Notamacropus eugenii: one gene and its partner. The protein of the gene in region 2 binds, or shares a complex with, the protein of the main gene of each other region. Links are inferred from orthologs where the notes say so. Each region holds a gene or a part of one and is shown on either strand. Other genes may lie near its edges.

Region 1 (6,955 bases), on a different chromosome or scaffold from region 2:
TGCTTAAATTACTTTTAAATGATTAAAGAACCCCAAAACACAAATTTCACCTTTTACCCAAAGTAAAAGTATTCCAACAGTATGCACTTCTGCAATCAGCGAAAGCCAGTTTCCAGCTGACCTCTGAACCATATGCTTGACTTTTCTTTCTTGGACTTACTGGTTTCTGGAGCCCCAGAATATTTTATCAGCCAATTATTGTATTTCTTTTCCTTCTCACCTTCCTCCAACAGCTCCACAATCTTATTGTTTCCCCTTGATAATCTTATAAAAATAACCCCAAACCCACTTTTTTCTACCTACTCTGAAACAGACTATGCTGTTTATAGACCCTCGAGTTCTCACAGCTTTGCCTCTGGTGTCTTATCTGAATCTCCTCGGCCAGTCCAGAGGCAAGTGAGTTGTTAATGTCTGTCCTCTTTGTGGGAGTTCTATGGAGACAGACACAGTTATGAGCATGACAGTATCTGAAAGAGGAGGTGACTGGCCTCCTAGCTAAAAGATGAATGAACTTCCTCCTGGCTTCTCCTTCCCCAACATTCTCTTGTCCTTGAGTGGGTGCCAGTCTGACTAACTATTCTTAATCTCACTGTGTCCTGAGAAATCCATTAAAATTAAAAGATAAATAATGATGATAATATTTGACACTTATATTCTGCTTTATAGTCTGGAAAAGTACTTACTGTCCATTCTCTCATGTGATAAAGTTTAAATGCCTTAACTTAAGGGGACATTCACAGATCTCTACGACTTAGGAACAAGCTATATTCAATTCAATCCATAAGATTGTAGACATTAGGGCTGGGAAAGAGCTGAAACCATCTTGATCAATTCTCTCATTTTACAGATGAGGAAACTAAAGCCCAGAAAAGTTAAGTTACCCAAGACCAAAGAGGTAATAAGTAGCCAGGTCTTGACTCCAGATCAAATGGTCTTTCCAGAGTATAACAGTGCTTTAGCAATTCAATTCAATAATTTAATTCAATGTAATAGGTTAAGAAAGCCAGGGATCACATCAGTGAGTTGTTCCCAGGCAACTTAATGAAATTATGTGTGTGTTCATCCTTCATTGCCGAAGAAGACCATGCCATCAGAGATATGATGACATGATTTGCACTTGACTTTGTTTTTTGAGTGAGGGAGGGCTGTGCAGGTCACCAGCCTCACTTCTCCTCCAGAGTCATCTGGATCCAGTGATCAGATATTCATTAGAATGACTGGAGATGACCCAAGATGAGGCAATTGGGGTTAAGTGACTTGCCCAAGGTCATACAGCTAGTGAGTGTCAAGTGTCTGAGGTGAGATTTGAACTCAGGTCCTCCTGACTCCTGCACTGGGGCTCTATCCACTGCACCACCTAGCTGCCCCTAATGAAATTATAGGCCTTTGATGGAAGAGTTCACCTCTCATGGAGGTAGACAAACATCCTAGTCCTTTGCTGGGGTGGGGAAAAAAGTGCAGATGAGTCCTCTTGTTGTTCCCAAGTGACTGAGGCAGCTTCCAAGATGATGGGCTGATTGAGGTCCTGGATGTGGTTGAAGGGCATGCCTGTCTCTGGTCTATAAGAGGGAAATGGTCCATCCCTTTATATCCTTTTCCTTTAATGGAGTGGATTTTCTCTCTCTTGGACTTCCAGATCAGATGCAGCAAGGGAGAGCAAGGCAGGTGAGGGAAGGTAGATGGAGAAGACAATGACTTGCAGGAAAAGCTCAGTTGGTCAGTGGTCCCCGTAGGTCTGACAGGGCAACTCTTTCCTGACTGCCTTCTTTAGTTTGGTTTTCCTTTTCTGACTATAGGTCAGAGGCTTGTGATTCTGAAAATAAGTGTATCCAGCCCGGGAGGTTACCCAGTATGTTGTACTGAGTTTGAGAGTTCTTAAGTTCTAGAGTCAGGCCCTTGGTAGTGCACAGTTTGAAGAAGGAAGAAGACAGTCCTGAAACTATCCTAAAGCCATATCATGACAGGACAAGAGATCTGGATTTAGCTAACCCTCCATGATATTGGCCTTAGTTACACAGTGCAGGTCCAAAGTGAACCTGCTTGTTCAGTAGTCATACAAAGAGCTTTTACCTTCCTGGGAAGTTTAATGAGTATAATGGGTTATTTGAGTGTTGTATGTTTCTTATTTATGGTAATAAACACCCAAATCCTTTGTATCTTATATATTTCCTATGGTAGGTAAAATAAAAACTATCTCATACTTGATATCAATATTGTATACTGAGTACTTGTTTTGGAGCTGGGGACCCTGTTGCACACATTTGGGGACACCTAAACACTCACCATACCACAAGCCAGGGAGAAATAACTCTTGGTTGAGCCCCAAGGGTAAAAGTTGGTTTATGTGAGCTGAGTTCCCTAAAGACTTGTGAGGCCTAGAGTCCCATGGATGACATCCACAATTATTAAGTGCCTACTATTGGATTGACTGTTAAGAGAAAGGAGACTTCTGCATGTTTCTAATGACTACCTACATATGTACAAGAAGAGGCATGAGGGTTATCAGGATAGGAAAAGGAAGTGGGTTGGTGATATATTGGGATTGAAGGAAGATAGGTGGACAGTCTGTGTGTTGCACTGGTACCCACACAATATTTTAAAACACCAACAAGAGATCTCTAGTACATTGGGTAGATCCTTAGGTCTGTAGGAAAACATGGATTTGAACTACACTGTTTAATCTGTAAGGGTTTACAGATTATTTTTTCCCTCAACATCCTTGTGAGGTACACAGTATAAGTATTTTAACCCCCATTATATAGATAAGGAAGCTGAAACTCAAAAGTAATTAGTTCAGGGTCCCCCAGCAAAGACTGGGTTAGAGATGAGATTCAAACCCAGGTTTCTCTAGACTCCAAATCCAGTATTCTTTCAACTACCTCACACTATTTTGGCACTGTCCTTCTGGTGCAAGAAGAGCAAATACCAAGAGTTCATAGGATTATAGACTAATAGCTGAAAGGAACTTTAGCTACCTGTTCCTCTCTGTTCCTCAGTTCCCTTATATGTAAAATGAGGGGCTTGGAACAGAGAGGAACAGGTAGGGGCAGTAAATTATAAAAAGATCATTGGGCTTTGGAGTGAGAGGCTTCAGGTGTACATTATGCCTTTGACACTAACTCCTGTATGACTTCCAAGCAAATAATTTTAACCTCTGTGTCTCTTTTTCCTCCTCTTTAAAATAGATGATTTCACTAGATGGTCTCCAAGGTAGTCTTCTTTGTCTGAGCAAAGTGAGTTCTTCCTGGAACATCCATTTTGGAGAACGTCCCAGACCAGCCATCCTTTATTCTTTAGATGACACCATGTTTCATCTTCCTTCCCCCTCCATCCAGGCTGCTGTTTTCCCACCGTTGAGTTCTTTCCAGAATCTCTGTTTTGGGGGAAGGACCCAGATTTGCCTTAATGCTTAGCACAGTTTGTTGCATATACCAAGGGCTAAATAAATGCTCATTGGCGTAAAGATCTTTCTTGCTGTTCTCACGTGTACAGGCATGTGTACCTACACCTGCTGGTACACGCTACTATCATATCCAGCGTCTTCCTGGTAGTTTTCAGCACATTGCTATCTTTTGAATTTCCTAAGGCCTATCGACCCTCAGGTCGGTCCATTTTTCTCAAGTTAGCAGCTGAGGATGGGGAGAAAAGGGAGGTCTTAACTGGAGGGGCAGCATACATTCATGGAGAAGCCGACTGGTGTGAAAGAACATCTGGATTTGGATCTGGGAGCTGAGAAGCTCCGCAATTGTGGTCACACCTCAGGCTCCTCATCTGTAAAATGGGGACAGTAAGGGCTGTACCCCATACCTCCCGATGCTCTGGGGGTGAAACGCCAGGGACACGTGACGAGCCCTGTTCTTTCTGGCCTCTCCCACGCTTCGCTCTCCTCTCCGCCCGCCCCCCCGCCCCCTGGCCTGTCAAACAGTTCCCTCTCCTGTCAGCTCCTTCCCTCCTCCCTGTCCCTGCCCAGGGCCCTAATAAAGCTATTTTGAAAGTGACCCAGTCGGTCTGGCTGCCCGGGCGCCCGGAGGGGCAGAGCTCGGGAAGGGAGAGGCCGGAGCTGAGGGCGCAGCTGTTCGGAACCATGACTGAAGATGACGGATTCGGTGGTGGTGGAGGGTCAGGTCAAATTGAGAGATGGAAAAAAGGTGAGGGGCGCCTCAGACCTCCCCCTGCCATCAGGAGACCCCGCTCCCCTCCACTGGGGCCGCGGGGGCGGGGGCGGGACGGGGACGGGAGCCCCCCGCGCCCAGCCCAGCCCGTAACCCTGTGCTTTTCTGTCTCCCCCGCAGTGGAAAACTAGGTGGCTGGTGCTGCGCAAGCCGTCCCCGGTAGCAGGTAAGGCGGCGGGGCGCGGGGAGGGGGCGCGCGGCCTGCGGACTTCTGGGAAGGGGAGCGTAGCGGTGGGGGGGCGGTTCTGGAGAGGGGCGCGTGCGAGCGGGCACGTGACCAAGGGAAGGTGGGGAGGGGAGCCTCAGGTGAGGGGCGCAAGGCCACGTCCAGGTGACTAGGTGGGGTGAGGGGAGGGCTTCTGGGGAGGAGCTCGTGGCGAAGGGCGCGGTGTGGGGGGTGCTCCTGGGGAGGGGGCGCTTCTAGGGGAGGGGACGCTCCTGGGGAGGGGGCGCTTCTAGTGAAGGGGGCTTGACTTGGGAACCTGCGGCAGCGAGGGTGCACGTGGTGCTCTGTGGGGGACGGCTGGAGGCTCGAGATTTGGGGTCTGGGCTTGTTGGGAAGGGGTACGCGGTCTGACGGAAGAGGGGGCGCTCACTGTTCAGGACGAACTAGCCTGCCACGAGGGGTCTCCCAGGAGCCCCATTGCTGGGTTCCGACCGGGCAGGGCTCCCAAGAGGCTGTCCCGAGCTGCAGGGAACGATTGCTTCACCTGACCTTCTCTCTCTGGCGGCGGGGCGGGGCGGCACAAACCGACACTTTGATGGGGGTCGGAGGGGGTCCTGCAGCGGAGCAGTCGACCCAGACTCCCCCTTCTCCCAGCCCAACCTTAGCGAGAAGCGCCTTACCTATAGTGGCCCCCTTGGAATTGAATTCTGTGCCCTCCCCAGGCCCTGGTTTCTTTGCCCCGCATTATCTGCGAGCCTCTTAGTGCGAGCCCTGGGCCGCCCGAAATAGAAAGAGGATATTGAAGCGCACCCAAAGTGTAACAGAGAGGAGGGGAAGGTAACAGGATACGGGGGAGGAGGGCGCTTCAGGCCGCACCCCCACAGAAAGGCTAGGAGCCGCCTTTCCAGCCTCTGGACTCTCTGCTTCTCTCCCAATTGCTTGGCGGGGGTGGGGCGGGACACCTTGGCTCCTACCGGGGTCTTTTTAGGGAATGAGTCATAAATGAAGTGGGACACCGGGATCTTGAGTTATATCGATTTGTCCCCCACCCTTAGCCCATCACAGAATACCAGAACTGGAAGAGAACTTGACAACATCATAGTTCAGGTATATAAAGAGCATTATGGCTTAAAAACCGCTTACACGAATATATGTTAATATACGTCATCTCCTTTAATGTAGTGTCAGAAATGGAAGGCATTTTGAAGACCATGTAGCCCAATCGTCTCATTTTACAGATGGGGAAGCAGATCTGGAGTGGAAGTCTTTTGTGTAGCCTTAGATAGGAAGGAAACTCAGAAAGAACAGGTGCTGGGCCTCAGAAGTAGCTGCATTTCTGAACTGAATTGTGCAGCTGTAGGATGCATTCTTGTGAAGTTTTTCGTTCCTGTCATCTTGCCAGTTTGAATTGTCGAGCTGAATTATTGCCAAGCAATTAAAAGGAAAAAAAAAAAGATTTAGAAATGGGCACATCATAAGATCTAGGCATCCCTGTATCTCTAGTCTGGTTTATTAGTTTGATGAACTCCTTAAAAAAACCTTTATACCGTCCAGCCTTTTCCCTCCTGAGTCTCTATTTTCATAGCACTTAAGGCAGTTTCATAGAGTGACTAACCTTCTGATTCTTCCCCTTTCCTTACTTGAAGTGAGTTGAATATTTTCTGCAAAGGTGGGTTATTTTTGTTTTTTTTCCCCCTATTCTCTGTGCTTGGTTGGGGAAGAGGAGAAGTGAAATTCTATTTTCTTTAGAAAATTGTTAGTCAACATGCATTAGCTTTATCCATTTCAAGACCTCATTGAGCTGGTTTCCTGGATGAATTTGGTCTTTCAGTTCTTTGGTTTCAATACTGTGGGCACACTTGTGCGGTCTTTAAGCATTGTTAGATTTGCAGCTGTTTGAGGAAACAGGTGCCTCCGTACCATCATGCATGCCGGAGTTGTGTGAGTGTGTGTGTGTGTGTGTGTGTGTGTGTGTTGCCAGTGAATGAGCATGATAGGATGTTCTCTTTTTGGTCTAGGAAGTGATAGAAGTGCAGCTTCTTTTTATCCGTATTTGTAGGTGTTTTTGATATCAGTGAACAGAAGTTAGCAGCGCAGTTCTGGTTTTTTTACGCCCTAAGACCTAAAATAGGAGATATTAAGGACTCAGTGTCAGGACCCGTGGGTTTGAATGCTGGCGTTTATATTTGAAGTGGGTGATGCTGGGGTTGGGGGAGATCACTTCCTGTATCTGAGCCCTTAGAATGGGGGCTCCTTGAAGGTAGAGACAATAGCTTTGCCTTTCTTTGTACCTCCAAAGTTTAGCACAGTGACTAGCACCTGGTAAGCATTTAATAATCAACCAATAAATATGTATTAAGTGCCTACTATGTGCCCAGTTTTATGGGCTGTCTAGTCTGCTGGATACTGAAGTTTTCCTATATAGATAAGGCTTATTTGAGGAAAGCTTTTAGTTTGGAATATTCTACCAAATCAACCGGGCAGAAATTAAAAACAGGTGGGAGATGGAATGAGGCAAATTTACTTTTCACAAAAGGAAAAAAACCTGTTACAATGGGAGCTATCCAAAAAGTCAAACAGGGTGCCATAGCCCTCAATTCCCGCTCCCTGGAGATCT
Region 2 (7,301 bases):
AGAGGAGCAACTTGATGTGAAAAGTATGAAAAATCCAGATAAATTTAGATTTAAAATACATACTCACATTTATATAGTACTTCATGGTTTGCAAATACTTTTATAATTATATTTTAGAAATCTTCCAAAATTCATCCCAAAAAGTCATTTCAGTTAAAAAAAAAACCAGGATATCCTTTAGATATTTTGATGCAATTAGAATGCTGTACAATGGCAGTCCAATCAGCAATTCAACTGTGCCGCCATTTTCTTCCCATCCTTTGGGAAAATTCTGAAAGGAATGTAATTTGTTTTTATAGGAAGATACCAATCTTTGAAATTTATAAACTATACATCAAAACTTTCTGGAATTTAAAATTAGTGATTGTCCACACAGAAAGCTTTAACTAAATACTGGTCTATAAAGTCAAAAGAAATAAACATGGCCTCTCCTGACCTGTGTTATAACTGGATATCCTGTGTGTGACATGTAAACTAAGATATAATCAGGAAGTTTTTTAGATAACTCCACGATTTAAAATAGCACAAATAAGACATAGGCCTATCTTCAACACTATACACATGGCATTGGACATCCATGGTGTATTCAGGAAGTATTAAAATGAACCAAGGTCAATACAAATTTTTTCTACTTATTATTAGCCACAGCAGAAGCGTTTTTTAATTTGTGTCTACCTGAGGAGTTTACATTTTAAAATCTAGGATTTCCTAAAAATAGTATGATGAACATATGACTTATGCTGAGAAGATGGACCAAATTCTAGAGGTTGCCTCTCTATTATGTCTAGTTTACATCCCTAATCTTGCAGCTCCCACATTTCTGCAACACTATTAAAGTACAGGCACTTTCTCAGGCTCCTCTGCCCTTTCTCTAGAGATATCAGAATCAAGAGAACAATAGTTTAAAGACCTCAGAGAAGGGGTTCTTAACTTGGGGTCCATAAGTGTATAGACAGATTTGAAACAGTTTCTGAACTTGAATGGGGGGAATATTACATCCGCATTTCAACATAATTAGCTTCTTTTGCAATCTTATTCATTTTATAAATTAAAAACTATTCTGAGAAGGGGCACCTAGGTTTCATCAGACTACTAGAGAGGTCAATGACACACAAAAAGGCTAAGAACTCCTGCATTAATGGTCATCCAAATCAATCACATCATTTTTTCAGATTAGGAAACTGAGTCCTAGAGTGACTTACCCAAAGGTCACAAAGTAGTAAGTGGCAGTCAGGATCTGAGCTGAGGTCCTTCAACTTCTAATTTACCTTCCATGTTACTTGGGTGCTATAAAATAGGCTTTTTCAAATCAGAAATATGATTTTTTTTTTTTTGGTTTTAAGAAAGAAAAAAATAGAGAAAGCCAATCTTTTAAAAAATAGATTCCTTTCACTTTGTGTTTCTAACAAACTTCATAATTACGTCCTTTTCTCTTTTATCTGGCTTATAGTATTCATTCACTCTTGCCCAATCTTTGTGAAAGCTCTCTCCATCTCAGAATACCTGTTTCTACCACTAAATTAAATGGTTTTAGAATGCCCTGTCTTTTTTTCTTTGTAAATCAGAAGCTATAATAGGGTTCGCTGGCACTTCACAGCATACTAACCAGCCCTTTCCCCAGCCTAACAAATCACTAGCCAAGAATGATCAGGCCTCGGACATTCCTCCTAGGGTAACAGGTGCTCATCAGTTTCTTAAGTTGCCTTCCTCTCCCCTCTGAGGTGGTGTTATTTCCGGTGCATTTGAATGGCCCAGAAAAAAACTTGGGCCATCTCCTTCTCAGCCAAATCCTGTCTCAAAAGGTATTCTTAACTGAGTTTTTATTTTTTTTAGCTCTTAATGTTTTATATTAATTACGGTTTACTTCTGTTTCACAAGCTGCAGCCCTATTTGAAAATACAATTAAATTGGGGGGAAAATTAATTTTTGAATTAGAAAAAAAGGAGATGAGTGCTTAAGGAAAGGGCTCCTCAGACTCTTAGGATTCGTTTAGAGAGCAATGGTATTTGTAAAGTCTTACGACACCTGGCACATAATAGGCACATAATATATGCTTCTTCCCTTCTCAGAAAGAGGCCTTAGAAGTAAAAGAATTCAACCACCTCTTTTTACAGATGACAAACTGAGGTTTAGAGGTGTTAGGTGATTTTTCTAGCGTCCCAAAACTGGTAAGTACTTGAGGCAGGATTCAAACCAGGGTCTTCCTGGCTTTTGAGTCCAGCCAGCACTCTATCCATATACTGTGGTTAACCATATATAAAAATAACCCAAAACTCCTCTCTTGCCACTTTCAACCACACTGAAGTTTGGCTCATACAATCAGGAAAATGTTCCAGCAGTTAGGGGTCTACCTGCTTCAACTTTCCCTGGCAATCGAAGAGAGGTAGGTTTCTGTGAGCAGACTTTTTGTTGGGGAAAAAAGACACCATGCCAGCCAAATGCAAAGGGACCAGGTATGCTTATTTATACAATTTCCCTCCCTTCCCTTTACCCCTGCCCTCCTGCCTACTCAGTCCCCAAGAATGACTGAACACCCACAAAGAGTGTTAATGAGCTGCAGCTGTGATACACACACACAGACACAGACACACACACACAGACCCACACAGACACAGACACACACACACAGACACACACACACACACACACACACACACCATACACCCCCACAGACAGTGACTATGCAAGAACATGAGTTCGTTCAAACCAACCTTTTGGAAGCTTCTCGGCCAGGCTGAAGGCAGCCAGGGCAAGGATGTGTACAAGTGGAATGTTGACTGGCTCTCTCATGGTTATAATCCAAGATGGAGGGGGGGAGAAGGAGAAGAAATCTGTGTCCCAGCAAAAATAGGAAAATGCCTCCCCCCCAGGTTACATTTTAAAGCTTGGTTTGTTACCAAGGGTCTCCTCCTACGGACTGTCTGTGCTCCAAGCTCCGCAGGGGCTAAGTATAATCAGGAATTCTCAGACTTGGCTGTGTGATGGACACGGCCAGCTGGTGGGCATCCACTTAGGGCAGTATGCAAACGTGGGTCTGCAGAAACAAGAGAATGCAAATCCCTTTAGAATCCTTTTTAAGAAATGTCAGGGATACGATGCCAGATGCCTTTCCCAAACAATAACTTAACCTGAATGGTACATTTTTTTTTTTTTACTGATCTTTCAAATCAGCTTATACAAATGTATCAAGACTGCATGACTCTTCATCTGAGGAGTTTGCAGTCTCTCCCATCTCTTCCTGCAATTATCCTCACCTTCTATCTTATTCTCACTACATATTTTCCTTTTGATTTCTCTCTTCCCAGCTCTTACTCAAGGCTCCTCTCAGCCCCCTCACCAACCCAATAGTCCTCCTCACTTAAATCCAATTTATTTGCAAGTCATGGCACCATCTTCCTGATGTCATAGTCCTCTTTCAAAATGAAGGACAAACCACACAAGCACACAGCCAAGCCAGCCCTCCTAGCTCCTTCTTTATTGTCTCAAATAATTTCCCTACACCTTTCTCTTCCTTTTTTTCTTTCTCAATACTTCTTCTTCTCCTTTCATTTTGCTTCACCTCTCTATTTCCTCTTTTTCTTCCCCTCTACTTTTCCCAACTTTTTACTTGTCCTACTTTGCCACTTCATGTCTATCCTTTGAATGTCCTCCAATTTTGATTTTAATCCCCTCCCTTTATCAGTTTGCTATTATCAGCTTAACCTTTCCTTAATTGAAAATTCATGAATGAGGCTACTATTTCTCAATTTATCTTTCTATCTCCCAGTCTGAGTTTGGCTTTCCCCTGAATTCCCAGATTCATTCCCATCATCTTTTTATCTATCTTTTGAAATTATGCCATCTTTCTCACCTTTGTTGTATATTTGCCTTTTCCTAACTTCACTGATTTCTACCTTCTTTAGATAAGAATTTGAGAGTCATCTGGCTGTGACATTTTTCAATAAATTAGTCAACAGAGTTAATGTAGCTGGCTAGGAGGGTACCCCTGTCAGATCTTTATTTTTGCTTCTCTTAAGCTATGTATGCCTTTGGAGACAAAGGCAAAGAATAAAGTTCCATTTGTTGGTCAAGAGGTGCAACTTCCTAGATCATTTCATAGGATCTTAGCTTTAGAACTCTGAGGGACCTCAGGTCCCATCATTTTAGATCTGAGGACATTGAGAACCTCTGCCTCCTGGCTTCCTTTAAGATTCAACTCAATTCTCACCTTCTGCAAGGGATTTTTCCTGGTTTACTCCCCCCTACCTATACCACACACATTCTGCTCATGCCTTCCTTCTAGATGATGTCCCTTTTACACGATGTGTATCTTTGTATAATTGTTTGCATCTTGTATCCCACATTAGAAAGTGAGCTCCACCAAGCCCCAGCCCTTATCACAGTGCCTAACACATAGTTATAAATCACAATTTAAATGGGGAGATCTTTCCCATTCATCAATAGATCCATGTGATCTGCCTGAGTCATGTGGAAGTCTGAGTCATAGGGAGCTTGGGGTGGGAGAAGTTTGCTGAAGGGGTAGAATAGGGAGAGGCAGAGCTAGAACAGAGCTGAGAGGAAGTTGGTCAGTCTAGTCAGAGCTAGGAAAGATGCAGGCGAGTAGGCAGCTGGCTAGTGTGAACGAGAGAGCTTGTTTGTGATTTGTCTAATGGAGCTGGTTTATGGGAAGCCTAACAGAGGGAGGGCTTGGGGATGGTATTGTCTTCTGCATTGTTATTGTGTATGGATTTTTGTTACTGTGATGGATTTGGCTTTCTGGTGTCTGAATAAATGTTTTGGTTCTGTCTTCCATGTGGAGAGTCTGGTATTTTGCAATTCAGAACCATGCAGAGATATTTACAGACAACAGAGGCACTGTGAATATTGCATTGGCACTACAATAGTAAGCACTTATTTGCTAATTGACTGATTAATTGACTGATAAAGGAATTGTGGACCTGAATTTACTATCTGTTTTATTTCCCATTACTTCCTCATACTACTTGTTCTAGCCAGGACAGTGTCATTATTTCCTCCCTCCCCCCTCCCCCAACCCCATCATGCGTAGTTTTATTTTCCTCTTCACCAATCTATACTCTACTCATCCCTCAAGGGACAGCTACAGTTCCAACTCATTCATTCAACAAATGTTTATTGAAAACAAATTATGTGTTAATACATAATGCAAAGTGTTTATTATATTCCCACTGTGCTGGGGACCATGAAACAAATATATACAGAACTAGCCCCTGACCTCAAGAAGCTTGTCAATACCTCTTTAAGGCCCCTTTAGACCTTGGAGTCTTCCTTTTGTACTTTTTTTCTGTACAACACAATTAATGCTTTATTTTAGGACAGAGATAATGGTATTATTCCTCATAATCTGACATGATTATATCCTGATATAATGTCATGATATTATATAATGACATAATTACATGACATCTTAATGTAATGATATATCATCAAATTATAAAATATTCTCTGTATATGCAATTTAACACTTTGTTTTCTCTGTTTCATCCATTAAGGTCTTACTCTGTAGGCTTTTATCATTGTGTTAAGGTGACTCAGTCATCTCAAAGGCAAGTCCCCTGGAGAGCAGCAAGTTAGACAGGCTTTAGTGATGACACAATCTGACAGTTGACTGACTATATTCAAAGGACTAGCCTGTTTTTTGGTTTGTTTTGTGTCTATTAAATCTCAGAATTACTATACCAGTTATAGACCTCATGGAGCTTAGACCTAGAAAGGACCTTGTAGATGATGCAATCCAATTCCCTCAAGTTATAAATGATGGAAACTGAGGCCCAGAGAAATGAAGTGACTCTCCCAGGGTCACAAAATTATTACACAACAAAGTTAAGGTTCAAGCTTCCATCATCAGACACCTAAATTCAGTGTTCTTCAAGAATAACAACAAGAAAAAGAAACAAGGGTCTGTAATAATGTATACAGGTACATTTCTGCTCCTGCTCCTGACACTGCTACTTTCCCCCCAATTTCCTTGGTGAAGACCATCCTGGTGCAGCTGAAGAGAACCCCCCCCCCCCAACTTGCTCTGACTTACAAAAAGCCTCAGGAAGGAGTCAAGAGCCACATTCATTTGAAGGTGGCAGTTCAATTTAAGGTTAAGAGGCACAGCCACTTAGTAAAACTAATGAAAGCCTATTGCGAACAACAAGGTTTGTCCCTCGGGCAGACTGGCAGCCAAGCAAAGTTGGAATTGGAGGCTGAAGATGCAATTCATGTATTTCAACAACAGACAGGAGGCATTTCCTAAAAAGAAGACCTGGACCTCTACTGCACAATGCCAGCGAGGAAAACAACACATTAACAATTGGAAAACCAAGATTTGGTTCATCCACAGTCTGACTGACATTGCACTATGTTTTTCTCTCTTTTTTTAATTCCTTTCCCCCATTCCTTTATTGTATATAAAATAACTTGTGGATGTACACAGGCAGAATATGTTTTTTTTTAATCAAATGGTCAATATTTTGATCAACATGAAATGGGAGAAAACAAATGTTCTGTGGAAATCTTTTTTTTTTTTTATTAGCGGCATGCTTATTCAACTTTTATCTTTATATTCCAGTAAGTTGTTTTGCTGTCACTCTTTTACAACAACAACAACACACACACACACACACACACACACAAATCATTGCATATCTTGTTTGAATAATCTTAATGTATCATTGTAAAGCCAAGGATGATTTTATAACATTTTTATGGGTAGCTGTTACCCATACCCAGGGAAATCTCTGTCTTTTAGTAGGAATAAATCACCATATTTTTCCTTTCAAGGGAAACATCTTGTTGTTTATGTAAACTTCTTGCTTAAAAAAATCATCAGGTATGCAGGTACATTTCTGATGACTGCAGGATGAGATTCTCTCTGGCAGAGTGTATGAGTTGTGATGAACATCTGGGTCCATTTGCAACTTTTGGGCCACCTCTGTAAGCATTATCCAGAAGCTTGCGAATGATGATGTATTACCCTGAGACACACTCTGTGGATGAAATTATAATTATACTATTATATATAATATATTATATATAATTATACACAATACACTATCTCTGTAGTGTTTCACATCTATATTTCTCTTACAAAATATTGTTTCATTTTTCCTTGAAACTCAAATGAGACTTTTCTCAATAAAAGGAATTTTGCAAGAAAGCCAACTTGCATTAATACTAATGTTGATAATGGTTGCTCACCACCACAGTGTTGGCTTGTCATTGTTTAGTCACTTTGGTCCTGTTCCAATTCTTCATGACCCCATTTGGGGTTTTCTTGACAAAGATACTGGAGT

The links.
Region 1: the proteins of MUSK (region 2) and DOK7 are in contact, whole or in part, in a crystal structure (PDB 3ML4), measured with the Mus musculus proteins. The link is inferred for Notamacropus eugenii from reciprocal best matches to the Homo sapiens genes MUSK and DOK7. Residues at the interface, in NP_035074.2 of Mus musculus: Leu547, His548, Pro549, Asn550, Pro551, Met552, Tyr553, Gln554, Arg555; in NP_001335203.1 of Mus musculus: Leu154, Ser155, Asp156, Leu157, Arg158, Arg159, Tyr160, Gly161, Gly172, Thr173, Arg174, Ser193, Asp197, Val200, Arg201.

Annotation. Positions count from the first base shown.
Region 1 is NC_092877.1:53,964,971-53,971,925, forward strand, and holds the start of DOK7 (protein Dok-7), read left to right. Parts: upstream 1-3,937; 5' UTR 3,938-4,094; coding exon 4,095-4,148; intron 4,149-4,292; coding exon 4,293-4,338; intron 4,339-5,018; exon of another isoform or gene 5,019-5,166; intron 5,167-6,955. UniProt on the Homo sapiens protein: Probable muscle-intrinsic activator of MUSK that plays an essential role in neuromuscular synaptogenesis. Acts in aneural activation of MUSK and subsequent acetylcholine receptor (AchR) clustering in myotubes. Induces autophosphorylation of MUSK.
Region 2 is NC_092872.1:97,448,624-97,455,924, forward strand, and holds the start of MUSK (muscle, skeletal receptor tyrosine-protein kinase), read right to left. Parts: upstream 3,011-7,301; 5' UTR 2,791-3,010; coding exon 2,712-2,790; intron 1-2,711.